Tribolium castaneum: one gene and its partner. The protein of the gene in region 1 purifies or fractionates together with the protein of each later gene. This does not show direct contact. Links are inferred from orthologs where the notes say so. Each region holds a gene or a part of one and is shown on either strand. Other genes may lie near its edges.

Region 1 (8,858 bases):
CTAAAAAACCGAATAATTTAAAATTGAAATGAGTTTACTTACGTTTTCGACGAAGCTCGGGTTCATTAGCGGTGACCCAATCCCGAACATGATTCTGTGTCCCATGATAATTAAAAACATGGAAATGACTTTTAGGCCGTGGATGCACTGAAGCCCATCGTCATTTTCAGTTTCATGGCTTAGTTTTTTCAGGTTTGACCATAAGGAGAACGACATTAAAACTTTATGTTTTTTTCCTGAAACGCACAATAAACAAGAAATATTATGTTACGTACTGATTTTATTACCCTCAAGTCGATATTTTTTTAAATCGTCCAATTTTATTAACCAGTCGTAGGACGTGGCAATACATGCTAAAAGAATAAAAAACAGGACCACGCACCTGAAAGGATTTGCATTCAGTCAAACGTAATTAATTAAACGTGAATAATTACGTAAAACCAATATCAGCACCGGAGAATTTTAATTCAGGTTTAAGTTGACAATTCCGCGGATTTACACTTGCCGTGACTTTGAAATCGCTGAAAGAATTCAACTTCGCAGTGACTTGTTTCAGCGAAGATTCCAGATCGTCGTAAGTGCAAGACGATGGGATGCAGTACGAAAAGAAAAATTCGTTCCTAGTGTTGCGAGACCTTTTATTCGAAAATGCCTAAAATTGTTAAAAATGCAAAAATCCATCAACAAGGTGATAATTTATTTATGCAAATACTGTTTCACAAAAACCTGATTTACTCACAATCATTTTTTCCCACGTGGAGGCATTAATAAAATAATTATCTCCGTTAAAAAAACGTGCGTATTTTTGTTCCTCATGCTTGAAATCGGGTGGTGCGATGTGAAATTTGGCCATACAGTACCTCCCCTGTATTTTTTCCTCGGTCACAGGTCCACTCACTTCGACGCATTCGTCAAAATTTCCAAAATCGTAGGTCGAGCCCGACAAAAGGCCGGTGGGGAATTTGGACGAAGCATCAAACACTGTTAAAAATGATGTATTAAACACTGGAGCACCACCGACACGAAAAACCTACTTTCCGTCGCCCACAGTCTCAATTTTTTCAACTCTTCGACGTAAAAAATCGTGTCATTTCGGCACTGGGGGTTGTCCGAATTGAGCGTCGGTACCAAAATGTGCAAAACTTCTTCCAGAGGCACGCTTCCGAATTGGACAGCTCGGGCCAAGTTGAAGAAAACGCACAAAACTAGAGCTTTGTATCCGATCATTGTGACATAATTCTTGCAAATGGACGAAAAGCTTCAGCAACGCTTCGCTATAAAGGACTAGAGACTGACGAATTTCAGACGGGAAGGTCACTTCAGCTGGAAAAAACAACGCTAATGGTGGAAGTGGAAATTGTTGGTGGATTTTTCAGAACGCCGGGTTTATTGGACAAGATTCAGTTAATTAAGTAAATTTGTACGTACCTAGAGTCACCTTGAGAATAACCAGCTCTTCGTAAAGTGGTGAAAAACTAGCACTGGGCACTTGTTGAGATGGACTTGTTTGTTCCTGAAAGGGATTATTAATACCACATTTTTTCGCGTTTTTCGCAGGTATATAGCTAATCTTGAGGGTAGCGCATTGACCCAAGTTTTTGGACTGGTTTCAGTCGCAAGCCCCATTCGCGGGGTATGGAATTTTTTCAACGGACTCAAAACACCGGAATTTTTATCAACGAGATACCATAATTATGCACTGGGATTCCACCGTTTGTACTACTTGTGTCGTTCACTAATTACATTTGTGTTTTGATAGGTAATGACCCAAAATTTTCAAATTGTAGCTGATAAGAGCTCGTCATTTTAATAATAATAATTATTGTTTTAACTGAATTAAAAATTTGACAACTCATTGGCATTAACATGAGGTAGTAACAGAAAAATTTTGCTATCTCGAGTGATCACATTGCCTGAAAGCTTTAGAATTTTTATCACATCAGAAAAAACAAATAAGCATAATGATGCTAAGATATTTTTCGTGTACCCGAACTGAAATATTTGAAGAAATAGTCCGTGTTACACATGTGTTTAAATCCAAGGTTTCGTTTTTTAAATTTTCAATAAAAAAGGGAAAGAATTTTATTTTGCGGTAAAGTTTCTGGTTCTGTGTGAATTATTCATTATTGTGTCCGCTAAAGTTTCCATTAAGAGTTTTATTCGAGAATTTCTTTAGAGACAAAAAGCAGATTGTTTGGAAATTAAAAATTAAAATTATTCACCTTTAGACTACATGCAGTTAAAAAATTCCGCAACACACAACCACTCACTCAAACCAATTAAAAATTTAAAACAGTTTTTAAGTTGTCGGGTACCATAGTAAAAAACTAGCCACTAAGCAAATTTTTATTTAAATAAACAGAAACAACGACATTGAAAATGCACATTCGACTGAGTAATCATAATATTTTCCAATGCTATTTAGACAATTCTGGGCGGAAAAATTGTATCAAGGCATCATAAGAGTACTCATCAAGGATCTCCCGGAGAGTCGCTAATTTCGATTTTACGTTGCACCCCTTGAACTTGTTGTAATCAATGTATAAGTCAGTAACAATACCTGGAAAAATCAAATCAATTACTGTTAGTGTATCGAGTCAATTTTAGTACCATAAAGACGATCTAAATAATCAGGTTGGCTCTGAAACTCCTTCCTTAGTTCTTTTTCATTAGCCAACAAATTTCGGTACTTTTCCGACAAACAAGTCCTGTTTTCTTCTTCTGTCACTTCTAACTCATTCAAAGCGTTCAACAACTTAATATCGTTATTCAAATCCTTCTGCTTAATTAACTTTGGTTCGATCAGCTTAATTACATGATTAATACTTTCATCGTTGATATCTAGAACCCCAAAGTAGTACCGTTGTTAATAATAATTATTGTAACTAACTTGAGCTAATGCTAATTTTAATTTTTTTCTTTGTGGCTTCCACCGTTAGAAATTCTTTCAAAATAGAGATTGTTGACACGTTATCAGATTTAAAGAACGCTTCTCCTTTCCTAAAAGTCAAGTCAGTCACTAGGTACTCAAAACTTGGTACTATTTACTGGTAGGAGCACTGTAAGATGGTTCCGAAAAAAGTCGACTGGAAATACAGCACCGTATTTTCCCCAAATTGGGGCTTTTCGGGTACTTCGGGCAAACTTTGCGACACCCAAGTGTGCATTTCGGCCAAACTGAAAGTACCGGTGATTGTCAAAGTGTTAAACAATCGACTCTCGTCAAATTTGTGAATCCTGTAATGCAAAGAAAGCGGTTTAATTTCGAACTGTATAAGCCTGCTACATTTTGGTTGGACCAGAGGCGTGACATAAGCGTGGAGAAGACCGTGTTGACCCTCAATGGTTCTAATTTTAATTTCGAGCCGGTTGGTATTGACCTGACACCGGTAAGTGGCCAGTAAAAAATTTCCGATCTGTATTATTTCAGCTTGTAAACAAACAGACATTTAGAGTTTATTAACTCACGGCGTGATCCGCATCGCTGTAACTGATCACGGCCGAATTTTTCTCCACGTCTAGCAAGTCGATAGCGACGTTGCTTTGCAGGAGAATATTGTCGATAGCCGTTGGAACCTCTAAAGTCAAGGTATAAGTCGCTGTGTCTTTAGATAACACGAACTGGAAATCAAAGCTTGAGCGAAAATTTTCCCACTGCGTCACCTAACTGAATCTTTGACTGAAAGCAAGGGAATTGCCGACAACTCCTCGAAGAAAGATTGGGTCGAGTTTTGATATTTCTCTCGTTCTTTGGCCACTTTGACTTGCAAGTCCTCAATTTCGCTCCTGCAAAGAGGGATAAAAATTCCGAACGGGGTTTTTGACCAAATTTACTTCAATTTGTTGATTTTGTTCCCCGTATCTTGCGAAAAAATGTAATTGCCCATGGTGTTGTCAGCTACGCTTTTGTCAACTGCCTCCGTGGTGAGGCCGAAAATTCGGCCAGTGTAGGTCACCACCAACACTTCGTCGAAACCTTGGGTTCCGATGACCCCACATTGCAATGATGAAACACTTTCGTTGCAATTCTGCAGGAAAAAGTGATAGTGACATTGATCTTGATCATATAGAACCGGTTGGAAGTCTTATTAATCGGTTTTTGTCTGCGTGAGCTGGGTCGATGAATCGACCAAGGTCGGTAGTACTCACATGGGAATAAATCAGGATTGGGGCGTCTAAATTATCATTTACATTGATAACGTATACTTCAATGGTGCCATCTTGGCGCCCTAAAATCAGGTTTTTGGTACCGCTGCTGGTCATGTCGTAAGAGTCCACGCACGAGATGGTACTCGAGTTTGAGGAATTGTCGATAAGCCAGCGGTCAAAGCCGTGCAATCTATTTACGAAAAATTAACTATAAATCAATTCGATTTTTTATTTACTTTTCCACGTCTAGAATCCCAATTCGGCCGTCCACGGTACCAAACAGCACTGTCTTGGTACCATCCTGTTCAAGGACATGAAGAAGAGTTGGTGCACTCTCAACCTCCATACTCAGAGTGACCCTTGCATGTTCCAAGGCTCGTATCATTCGTCCTTCACACGCAATCAAGGACATAAGCCTACGAGTCTGAACCTTTGTTATTTATTGCAATTCAGAATAATTTTTATACCTTGTCAGCATAAAACGCGATTACGTCGACGATTTGATCACCACATAAATACGAACCCACATCTTTACAATCCCTGAAGTGATTGTAGATGTGTTTGCCGCACAAAAATAAATCGTTGCCCAAAACAAACCTACAGCATTTTATTAGGGACAAATTATTTTAACTGTATATACGAGTCCTAACATTGACGAGACGGGTTCAGTCATTCCTGGGTCAAAAGTCAGAAACAGTTTCCCTTTTTTGGTGTACCCCCTTATTTCATTTTCCGCAGCAATAAATATTTTATCGCTTGAGCTCCCTTGAAGTAAATTAATGACCACGTTGCGGTTTAGAAGGATAGTTACCGTGAGCGCCACCTAGTTGCAAGGACGATATTTTAGGTCCTGGCAATGTTTTAAAATGTAATTGAATATCCTCTTTCTTGACTGAGAATATTTGTAAAATTCCGTCACTGTCAGCTACTGCAACCTTTAATTTGGGTTATTTATGGCCGGGTTGAAGTAGCTTACCTTTTGGGGTTCTTTCGACGCGCTTGGTGGCAGGAGTTTGAGGCAGTTTTGAGACGTAATGCCCACAATAGTATAATCGACTCGTGATAATTCCAATTCCATTTTATTTTTTGTTTTGGATTAATGAAGATTGCTTTGTCAGACTATGCAGGGAAAATCGATGAGGGAGGTAGGGAGGGACATGCTGGTTGCTAAGTTTGAATACAAACACTGTTTTCTAGCTCGAAATTCGTTTATTTCCCAATAAGATAGGTTTTTATGTAGCGTATCCAAAAATGCGTATTATAGTATTTGTTACAAATTCTTGTGGTCGGGAATAGCCTACGGGCCATTCTTTCCGTTGCAAACATTTCGGTGGCCAAAAAAAAAACAATTAAGGAGATTATTTAAATCACATTGTTAGACCGAATTCGGCTTTTTTCTCCGGCTAAATTTAAATAAGCAAGTTTTTGGCCCAATCACTGGCTAAATCATTCAAAATTGACTGAAATTACATAAACAAATACCTCATAAATAATTAATAATAAGATATGCCGATGTTTTCAGTTAGTTGTTATTTTTTTTTATATTTTTATTTACCTACCTATAGGTATGTTTAGTTACCTACATTTTTTTAAATACCTACCTTTCGGTTTGTTTTTTTTAACATTCCTTGTTCTTGTTATCATAAATAATTATTTAACCATAATTCAAAATTCATTCATCTGTTGGAGCGATGACACTCCGACCATTGCACTCAACGATGAGTAACCTCATGGTAGTGTAAAAACCCAAAAGCCAGTAACATAATGATGATTGATGAGGAAAGTAAAGATTATTTAATATGTATACATATTGAGAGTTTTGACTTCGTGCAATGACATGCATTTTTGCATTTCCTATGTAAGCCACACTTATAATAATGTAATAGGTACGACTTCTTCTTCCAAATTCCTTTTCTAAAACTTTCCATTCTTGTTTTTTGGGAACATAATGTCGTCAGAGGTGGCTTTTTTATTTTAATTTATCAAAGTATCAAAGTCAACAAATACTGACTTGTATGCAAATTTCTTATTTTAATATCTATTTTCGTAAACGGTTGTTTTTCAATTCAGATTTTAATTTTTTTTACAAAAATTTTTTTGAATTTAAATGAATTTTTTACGGCACAGTTTGTTGGATAAAACTAAAAAAGTAGAACTTGATTTTTGCGTATTTTCCAATAACTAGTCGCAATTTTATTGCAAAGAATGACTAATGAACGACCTGAAAAATATTTAGGAAGCGACCTTGATCAAATGTACACAAAAAGTGAGTAATCTAATCTCATACGGTGTAAGTTTATAAAAAAATCGCATTGTACGCGTATAAGGAGTGAGCTGTAATTTTGAAACTTGAGTTTTTTGCAACTTTTCAACAAAAAAAGGTAAATCCAACTTATCCAACTTGTATTGATCAAGATAGAAATTCGTTGCAATTTATTCAGCTTAACCTCAAAAACCTTTTTGTATTATTTCGCAACTATATGATATTTTGTTTATATATCATTAAGATAACGTAATAATGCTCATTAAATCTCAATCTACCCACCTTCATAAGGCATCAAAATCAAAATTATTTTGGGTGTATAGTTGGTTGCCTAGCCACTTGCATTTTTAACATTTTTCCAGTTGATATTATGGACGTAAAGGAGTTCACACAACGCTTCCACAATCTCGCCGGTGTCACAATCGGTGAAAAAAGGAAGTCTCTCTTTATCCTTCTGCGAAACTTACCTTCAGATCAGTCTGCCCTCATCACTTCCATAACTCCCAAAAATCATTTGGAACAACTTTTTAAGTTGGAAGTTTTAATCCGACTACAAAGTATCCCCCATTTAATCGAAGTACTTAAATGCGAAGAAGAACTCCTTCCCGCAAAATTATTAAAAAACAAGTGGTTTTGCCAAAAACTGGCATCGATTCTTGACGAAGACAGCTCAAATTTTGTGAACACTATTCTCCCCTTTACATCTTTCGTCATACGAATGAGAATAATCGCAAAACTTGCTCTGTACGGTACGAAAATGGACAATGTGTACGACGATATTTACAAGCGATATGGGTTCCACATTGCGACGAAGGTTTTGGTAGGTTGCAGCGAATCAAAAATTCGAAATGTTTTGCAAAACGGAGACGTCGTTCTCTCGCCTCGCGACCTCAAAATATTGTACCTTAAACACCCACAAGTGTTTCAATTTTATTTGAAACAGAACGGTTCCATTGACGATGACTCAGTTTTGAGTTTTGTTGCACGAAGAGATAAGAAAACGTTCCTCGAGCTAATGAAAACTTTCAAATTACGGGCAAACATTGGTAAACGACTCACCAGACACTTGTTGAACACTTACAATGATTTAATAATCGCACAAGCAAAAACACTGAGTACGTGTCTTCGCATGAAAACAGTCATCAAAACACTAAGTCAAGACGATTTTAAGAGATTTTTCTTCAACTGTTTGCCCGAAACTTTCGAAGGCTTGCGTTATGCCTCTTACGAAATGCAGCGAAAAATTGGGAAAAAATATTACAAACTGCTTTTGGAAGGAATGAAAGAGGTTTATAATAAGAGTTTGTACGATTATCCCGACTACGTCAGTGAAGATATGATGCGATTTATGGATGTTGAAGAAAGGGAAAAGTGGATCGAACTGAAGAAGAAAAGTGGTACCCCGGAAGCAGATTTGGTCAAATTTATGAGACCCTCTCTTTCCATTCCTTGGATTAAAAATAAAATTAATGTTACGTCCGCTGTTACGTCCCGAGATGACCTCGCTTGTCTGCTCCTTGAAACGTGCAAAATAAACAATGATTTGCACGCGTTGGCCGAAGTTTTGGAATATTTTTGCAAGAGACACAGAAATGACGATGAAAGTGTCATACGCAACTTTCTATACAAACTTAGCAATTTGTACAAAATTGAAAAATTTGAAGAACGCCACTGGAAATGTATCAACACGCTAAATAATATTCTGGACATGAAGGGACACAATTCTTACTTCGGTTACGATTACGAGCTTAAATATGTCGAATTTTTGTTCTCCAATAAGAAATTAACCGACGAGCACGTGTATAAATTTTTGAAACTAACCAAAGGGGTTAATTACTGGGAGAACAAAGTCAAGAGTGAACCTTTGAAAAAAATATTTCTATTAAAAACTATTGAACTCATGCCCGAACTGACGGACGAGAAGAAAGGAATCCACTTGGAGGATTTGTTAATCATAAGCTGGATTTTTGGTTGGAACAAAAAACACCCCAATGACCAGATTAATTTTTTAAGTTACCCCAGATTGGCAGAATCGTTTCGTAAGGCACAAAACGAGGCACTGAATACCACCGAATTCAATCTAAAACGGAGAACTTTGTCGCACTTATACGAAACCATCATATGTACGAAAGAAAAGTCACAATTCCGAGAAGACACAATAAAAAATTACTTTCTGCTAGATTACCCGTTTTACAATGAAACAATTGATTTCTGGTTATTGAAACATGAACCAGAAATTGTTGACAAACATTTCGAAAAGTTTGCCGACCACATTCTAGGCACCGTACGACCAAACTGGCAAATTGTGAATATCCTGAAAAAATATTCACAATTTCATTTTGCTGAAAGATTAGTCAAACGTTGCGTCGAAAATGTGAAGGATGGTCGAGAGACATTATTCATGTTCCTTGCGGCGCTTATGCTAACGCAGGACTTCGTCCAAATA
Region 2 (7,821 bases), on another chromosome or scaffold:
AGCCTTAGAGTTTACTGGAACAAATTTTTGACTCTAGGACTTCTAGTTTTTAAGTTATGATTTTTTTTGTTAAAAAATTAAGTTTTCCTTTATGAAATGGCTAACCTCAAATTTTAAATTTTTGTGGAAAACTAATTAATGGCAATTGAAGAAAGCTAAATATTTCGGAAATTAATTAAAAAAAATCAAATTTTTGGAAAAATATTTTGGAAATTCCAATGCTTTCAGGGAAGATGAGGTAAACAAACACCACTGAAAGTATTTAGGGTAGATATTACCCTTGCCAAGAATTTCCCATCATACATGATTATTGCTTGATTTGAAGTCGAAGTTTTGGAAAAATTTAGACTTTTGTAGTTTTTGAATTTACATACTTTTTTAGGTCGAATTTTTTTTGCTGTACTTTTTATACCCCCTTTAAAATGCAATTTTTTACGTTATTTTTAGTTTTTGTGTAATATATTAAAAAAACAGCTAATATTTTTTATTAAAATTGCCCCGAATGTACTGAGTTACGCCACTGCCTCCTTAGCCTACCTCCTTCGAAACAACCCCATCCTGCAGCAAACTGTTAAATTTCTGAAACAAATCCTTTGCCTCCTCCTTCCGGTCCATCCCCGCCAAACAAACGACATTATTAACAACAATGACCGGATCGTCCGGAGCCAGAGCCATCGCCTGCTTGAAGGCCCTTTCTGCGTTCTCTCCATCGTTCAATTCAAATAAGGCACCTAAAAATTGAGCAATTTTTGGCAGGAAGGAAACTTCCCGCTACAAATTTACATCCTAATCCTGTGAAGGAATGAGGCACGTCTGGCCGCAGATTGACAGCAGCACATAAGAAGTTAAACGCAGATGCGGGCTGATAAGTGGCAAGATGAACTAAACCCAAGTTAAAAAGCACTCGCCAGTTTGTTGGCGATATCCATAAGGCCCGCTTCAAGCAGCTTATTGCCTGCAACAAACAACCGACTATGTAAATTTAAACGAAGGATATAAAATAAATTTGGGAGTGGGCGCACAAAGGAAAAAACCCACCGACAAAAGCTGCAACTTTTTACCAAAGGCACACACTTATTTCCGCGGCTATAAATACCAATAAGTAGGCAGATGCAGTGTAGGTAAGGATTATTAAAAGAATCAGAACGTTCCAGATGGAGCCATTATTACAGAAGGCTTAAAAACCACGGTGACTGCTTGGAAAAAAATCAACGAACACAATTCCAGTTTAATCATAACGGAGAGTTGAAAACTGCACTTTAATTTTTGTATTTGTTTGCAATTTTTTCGAAAAGTATTAATCAGAGTACAAAGTTTTTTTTCAACGATAATAGACTTAAGGGGGTTACGTCTAATAGTTCCGGCGTTATTGACCGATAAATGTCAAAAATATTCACTGTTCAAACGTTGATTACGGCATAACTATTCGAAAAAGTTGAGCTATTTTAATATAAACTTATGTAAAATTATCTGGGAAATCGACTGGTGTCGAGAAAATTGACAAATTCTCAATGGTTTTCAAGTCGTAATTTTTTTTTAATTTTTGCTTTGTTTGCAATTTTCGCAAAAACTATTAATCGGAGAACAATAATCTTTTTTAAAAAGAATAGAATATCAAAAGAGCTTTCCAACGATAATAAACATAATAAAGTTATGTCTATTAGTTCCGAAGTTATTGCCGGATGAATGTCAAAAGCATGTTGAAATATTCACAAAATCACTTTTCAAACACCGATTACAGCAAAACCATTCGAAAAAGTGGAACTATTTTAATTAAAACTTATGTAAAATGATCTGGGAAATCCATTGGCGTTGAGAAAATTGACAAATTCTCAATGGTTTTTAAGTTGTAATTTTTTTTTAATTTTTGCTTTGTTTCCAATTTTCGCAAAAACTATTTATCGGAGAACAATGATTTTTTTTGAGAAGAATACAATATCAAAAGAGCTTTCCAGCGATAATAAACATAATAGGGTTATGTCTATTAGTTCAGGAGTTATTGCCGCAAGAATGTCGAAAACATGTTGAAATATTCACACAAGTACTTTTCGAATGTCGATTACAGCAAAGCTATTTGAAAAAGTGGAACTATTTTAACACAAATGTATGTAAAATGATCTGAGAAATCGATTGGCGTCGAGAAAATTGACAAATTCTTAATGGTTTTAAAGTTGTGATTTTTTTTTAATCTTTGCTTTGTTTGCAATTTTCGCAAAAACTATTTATCGGAGAACAATGATTTTTTTTGAGAAGAATACAATATCAAAAGAGCTTTCCAGCGATAATAAACATAATAGGGTTATGTCTATTAGTTCCGAAGTTATTGCTGGATGAATGTCGAAAATATGTTGAAATATTCACACAAGTACTTTTCGAATGTCGATTACAGCAAAGCTATTTGAAAAAGTGGATCTATTTTAACACAAATGTATGTAAAATGATCTGGGAAATCGATTGACGTCGAGAAAATTGACAAATTCTTAATGGTTTTAAAGTTGTGATTTTTTTTTAATCTTTGCTTTGTTTGCAATTTTCGCAAAAACTATTTATCGGAGAACAATATTTTTTTTTGAGAAGAATACAATATCAAAAGAGCTTTTCAGCGATAATAAACATAATAGGGTTATGTCTATTAGTTCAGGAGTTATTGCCGGAAGAATGTCGAAAACATGTTGAAATATTCACACAAGTACTTTTCAAATGTCGATTACAGCAAAGCTATTCGAAAAAGTGAAACTATTTTAACATAAACGTATGTAAAATGATCTGAGAAATCGATTGGAGTCGAAAAAATTGACAAATTCTTAATGGTTTTAAAGTTGTGATTTTTTTTTAATCTTTGCTTTGTTTGCAATTTTCGCAAAAACTATTTATCGGAGAACAATAATTTTTTTTGAAAAGAATACAATATCAAAAAAGCTTTCCAGCGATAATAAACATAATAGGGTTATGTCTATTAGTTCCGAAGTTATTGCTGGATGAATGTCGAAAACATGTTGAAATATTCACACAAGTACTTTTCGAATGTCGATTACAGCAAAGCTATTTGAAAAAGTGGAACTATTTTAACACAAATGTATGTAAAATGATCTGGGAAATCGATTGGCGTCGAGAAAATTGACAAATTCTCAATGGTTTTAAAGTTGTGATTTTTTTTAAATTTTTGCTTTATTTGCAATTTTTGTAAAAACTATTAATTGGAAAACAATGATCTTTTTTGAGAAGAATACAATATCAAAAGAGCTTTCCAGCGATAATAAACATAATAGGGTTATGTCTATTAGTTCAGGAGTTCTTGCCGGAAGAATGTCGAAAACATGTTGAAATATTCACACAAGTACTTTTCAAATGTCGATTACAGCAAAGCTATTCAAAAAAGTGAAACTATTTTAACATAAACGTATGTAAAATGATCTGAGAAATCGATTGGCGTCGAGAAAATTGACAAATTCTTAATGGTTTTTAAGTTGTGATTTTTTTTAATTTTTGCTTTATTTGCAATTTTTACAAAAACTATTCATCGCAAAACAATGATTTTTTTTTGAAAAAAATAGAATATTAAAAGAGCTTTCTAACGATAATAAACATAATAAGGTTATGTCTATTGTTCCAAAGTTATTGCCCGATGAATATCAAAAACATGTTGAAATATTCACACAATCACTTTTCAAACGCCGATTACAAAAAAAATATTCAAAAAAGTAGAACTATTTTAATTTAAACTTATGTAAAATGATCTGGCAAATCCATTGGCGTCGAGAAAATTGGCAAATTCTCAATGGTTTTTAAGTTGTGATTTTTTTTTTAATTTTTGCTTTGTTTGCAATTTTCGCAAAAACTATTCATCGCAGAACAATGATCTTTTTTGGAAAGAATTGTAAATCAAAAGAGCTTTCCAACGATAATAAACATAATAGGGTTATGTCTATTAGTTCCAAAGTTATTGCCCAATGAATGTCAAAAAACATGTTGAAATATTCACACAATCACTTTTCAAACGTCGATTACAGCAAAACCATTCGAAAAAGTGGAACTTTTTTAATGTAAACCAACGTAAAATAATCCGGGAAATGGATTGGCGTCAAAAAAATTGCCAAATTTTCGATGGTTTTTAAGTTACAATTTTTTTTTATAATTATTGCATTGTTTGCAGTTTTCTCAAAAACTATTAATCGGAAAACAATTTTTTTTGAGAAAAATAGATTACGAAAAGTCCAATTATTTTTTACCTAAGTATATCAATGATCAAATATCTACCCCTAAAGCACGTTTTTCTAATTAGGCTACAGTTTTAAATTTTTCTAGATTTTTGAGTCCGCCATTCAAAGTAACGCCCCTGTAGCAGTTTAATGTTGAATTATTGATACTGATGATCTCAAATAAATTAAAAATTGGACAACTCTGTGTTAAAAAAATAATACAATAAAATTTCATGGGTTTTTCCCCTGGACCCATTCACCTACCGCCACATATTTTTGTTTAGAGTAGAAACACAGTCCAATGTTATTCCAAAGCGCCACCGAATTCGGCTCGTACGAAACAGCCACTTTGTATTTGGTCAAAGCGACATCGTGCTCATCGTGCGACTGAAACAAATCATCCAATAAAACTGTTTCCGCAATTTGGAGATGTATTACTTGAGTGATGCATCCGATCCCAAGTAGAGCTTTTGCACAAACCGGATCTAGAGCTAGAGCGGAACTCAATCGCTCGAATGCAAACTGTGTCTGCCCCAACTTCAGACACAAAAGGCCTGTTTCAGTCAGCAAGTTAACACTGTCTGGGCAGGATCTAGAAAGTGCGTTTTTTTAATATCAAATTCAGGATGCTCATTATGCCGTAATGTATTCATGCCGTTATTGGGAAACTTTTCGAACGTCTTACATTGATTGAAAACCGATATTTTTATGATCAGGCGGAGAAACGCCTGTTATCATAAGCAAATAAGAGGTGGAATTCTGGAAATAAATTTTACTGTCTGCGCCTAATTCGAGAAAATTCCGATGTTTACCTACGCAAAAAGTGCGTTTTCTACACGGTGTCAAGTTAAATGTGCAGACGCGAAACTGCGACATGAAACGGAAGTCGAATAAATTCATAAAATATGTATGCATCATCGCTGCCTCGTTTGAATTTTCCTCTTTCACGACTTCAAAAGTACGCCATATAAATTCAAATCAAACGCGCAAAGGCTTTTTTTAACAACAAATCTTGTGTAATTTTTTACTCACTCGATTGCAGCGTTACACACTGAAATGGCGCTTCGTAGATCACCTTCTGATGTAAGTATTTTGATGAGGAGCGAATAAGCGGCTTCGTGTTTCCCCAATTGGACAGCTTTGTGTGCGTATTCCTTTGATTTGGCTGTTTCGCCGAGTCTCATCAGACATTGGCCTTTGTGATAGAAAAGTCATGACTAGGAATGTGCTTATAGAAAAAATAATCCAGAGACCATTTTTTTTTTGGATAAGGGTTTACTGGCTGTGGAAATCAGGAAATCAAACACTGCGACAAGCAATTGAATACTTGGACAAAGTTTAATTGAAAAAAAAATCGAGAGTTTTGTTAATAAAATCTGATTAAAGGCAAAAATAACGCCACTTTCAAATCGAAAATACCTGAAAGTATTTCTGCTTTTAAACGTACGAAAAAAGCAAACTTCACGTTTTTTGTGACCAAATTTGTGATTTTTGGTTTATTTTTGGCGAAATTCCACGCTTTTCTGACTGATTTTTCGGCGTATTTAAGCGTTTCCGATGAAAAAAGCCAAGCCAAAGGCTCAGATTTTTTAAGTTAACATAGTAAACAGATTTACAGATTAGGTAAACCTTCAAGAAAAATAAATGATCAGCTCAAAAACGTGCTGAAAATCCAGAATAAGAGAAAGATTACATAATTTTCGATCTATTTTTGTGTTTTCTTAGCTTAGAATTGTTTTTCTGACTGATAAAAGTAATAAGGTACTGGGAAAATCTAAAAAAATAAAATTTAATGTTAGTTTCAATGCAACTTAGTAATTTTTCTGCTTATTTCAGATGACATTCCAAGAAGATAATGGTCGTTTTTTTTGCTGCCAAACTGGAAAAATATAATTTGCCGACAAAACTTTGGCAAATAATTTTGTTTTATTTAAAGATCCAATAATTTACGAGTACATACTTTCATGCATATTTAATAATAATAATAATAATAATAATAATAGTAATAATAATAATAATAAAATAATAATAATAATAATAATAATAATAATAATAATAATAATAATAATAATAATAATAAAAAAGGCTTTTATTAAAGAAGAAAAAAAATAATGTAAAGAGCCAAGGTCCAGCAATGCCATTCAACTTATCCTCTCTCAAAAGAAAACAAAACATAAAGTATGAAATAAAATCCCAAGACTACCTAAAAAATCATATACAGAATAAAAAAAAATTATATATTTTTTATAATTTCTTTAAAGTAATGTGAAAAAAGTACCTATACCTAGTATTCTTAATAATATAGAAGCAAAGTAAAAAACATTAATATTAGAAAAAATAACAAAAAAATAAAAAACAAAACAGCAAATGGACAATTACTAAAGTGATAATTATTTTAACTTTATCTGTTTTTTAAATAACTTTAGTCGCATTGACTTAAATGGTTTTCAATATTACTGTAAATGACAAGAGAATTGTATATAGATAAAGACTAAAGAACCTAAAAAAACAAGGCTGTATAAAATTTTTCGTGAAATACTGTAATTTTGAGTAAGCTCGTGATTTATTAATTTTTAATATTCATGGTATTTAAAACATGCGTTTTGGTTGAAATTTTTTTGGTAAAAGAATTATTATGGTACGTATCTTAAACAATTTTAATCGTTAAAAGCAAAACTGAAATTTACTTTCAACCCATTTAAAAGAATTCTAGAATCGGAACGAATGAGTCAAACAATATTTTTTCTAACAAAATAAAAAAACATTCTATTAGGTACTTTTCTAATAGAATCAAATAACGAATATACATATTCATGTTATAAAATTTATTTTAAGCATTTTTAATATTAATAAGTGATGTACAAGTCTTTGCAACAAATAATTATCCAGGCGCATCCACCATTTTTGCATTTTTTTTTAATTATTATTTTACTACTTTGAAACTAAACAAACATTAAAGTGATGATATATAGCATAAAGGCAAATAGTTTTTTCGTCAAAAGCGACGATCCAATCAAAAAGCGTTTTTTTATTAATTTTTTTTGGTTGTGTTAATTTGATTTTTAAAAAATTGGCCACATTCACACTCCTTATCCAAAAACACCGAGTGGATTTTAGTTTGTAATACAATATCTCGTACCAATATTGTAATAAATTTGCCAGTCGGGACAAGTTGACACTTTTTCAGCCTCCAAATACGCTTCAAGTGATAATCTGAACCTCCGCATTTCGTAACTGAAAATAATTAACTCACGAAAGAACCCGCAAAAAAGCACTCACAGGCATTTGCCGACTTGTTTGATGGCGTCTGCATTCTCGGGGTTCAGTTTCATGCAGGTCTGGAACGACTCGAGGGCCTCCTGAGTCTTTCCCTCCTCGCGCAAAATGATTCCCTAATTTTTATTCCACCATTCAAACTATCCAAAACTACTTAATTCCCTCTACCTGTTTAAAATACGCAAACTCGTTGCGACCGCCGCTTCGCTTGATTTCATTTTTAATCAAGTTCTTGCACTGTACAATTTCGCCCCTAACATGTTGGAAATGTATGAGCCAGTTTAATTTCTCTAAAGGATTAGGCTCAGGCATTTTGCTGGATTTTTGACGGCCTAAAATTATAATT

What was found. Proteins that work in one complex are often made in the same cells at the same time.
Region 2: the proteins of Bardet-Biedl syndrome 7 protein homolog (region 1) and BBS4 purify together in Homo sapiens (co-immunoprecipitation; 7 studies listed by BioGRID and IntAct, counting the BioPlex papers as one, with this or other methods). This does not show direct contact. The link is inferred for Tribolium castaneum from reciprocal best matches to the Homo sapiens genes BBS7 and BBS4.

What each region holds. Positions count from the first base shown.
Region 1 is NC_087402.1:9,074,882-9,083,739, forward strand, and holds Bardet-Biedl syndrome 7 protein homolog, read right to left. Parts: upstream 5,316-8,858; 5' UTR 5,228-5,315; coding exon 5,126-5,227; intron 5,085-5,125; coding exon 4,961-5,084; intron 4,915-4,960; coding exon 4,800-4,914; intron 4,747-4,799; coding exon 4,617-4,746; intron 4,574-4,616; coding exon 4,386-4,573; intron 4,340-4,385; coding exon 4,150-4,339; intron 4,029-4,149; coding exon 3,835-4,028; intron 3,787-3,834; coding exon 3,669-3,786; intron 3,622-3,668; coding exon 3,469-3,621; intron 3,417-3,468; coding exon 3,049-3,416; intron 3,001-3,048; coding exon 2,891-3,000; intron 2,842-2,890; coding exon 2,611-2,841; intron 2,561-2,610; coding exon 2,418-2,560; 3' UTR 2,333-2,417; downstream 1-2,332. Other genes in the region: nose resistant to fluoxetine protein 6, read right to left, coding at 43-236, 288-382, 435-652, 740-981, 1,035-1,227; uncharacterized protein LOC107397770, read left to right, coding at 6,783-8,858.
Region 2 is NC_087396.1:20,710,067-20,717,887, forward strand, and holds part of BBS4 (Bardet-Biedl syndrome 4 protein), read right to left. Parts: intron 7,808-7,821; coding exon 7,644-7,807; intron 7,592-7,643; coding exon 7,479-7,591; intron 7,434-7,478; coding exon 7,339-7,433; intron 5,395-7,338; coding exon 5,232-5,394; intron 4,792-5,231; coding exon 4,638-4,791; intron 4,587-4,637; coding exon 4,464-4,586; intron 956-4,463; coding exon 784-955; intron 732-783; coding exon 538-731; intron 1-537.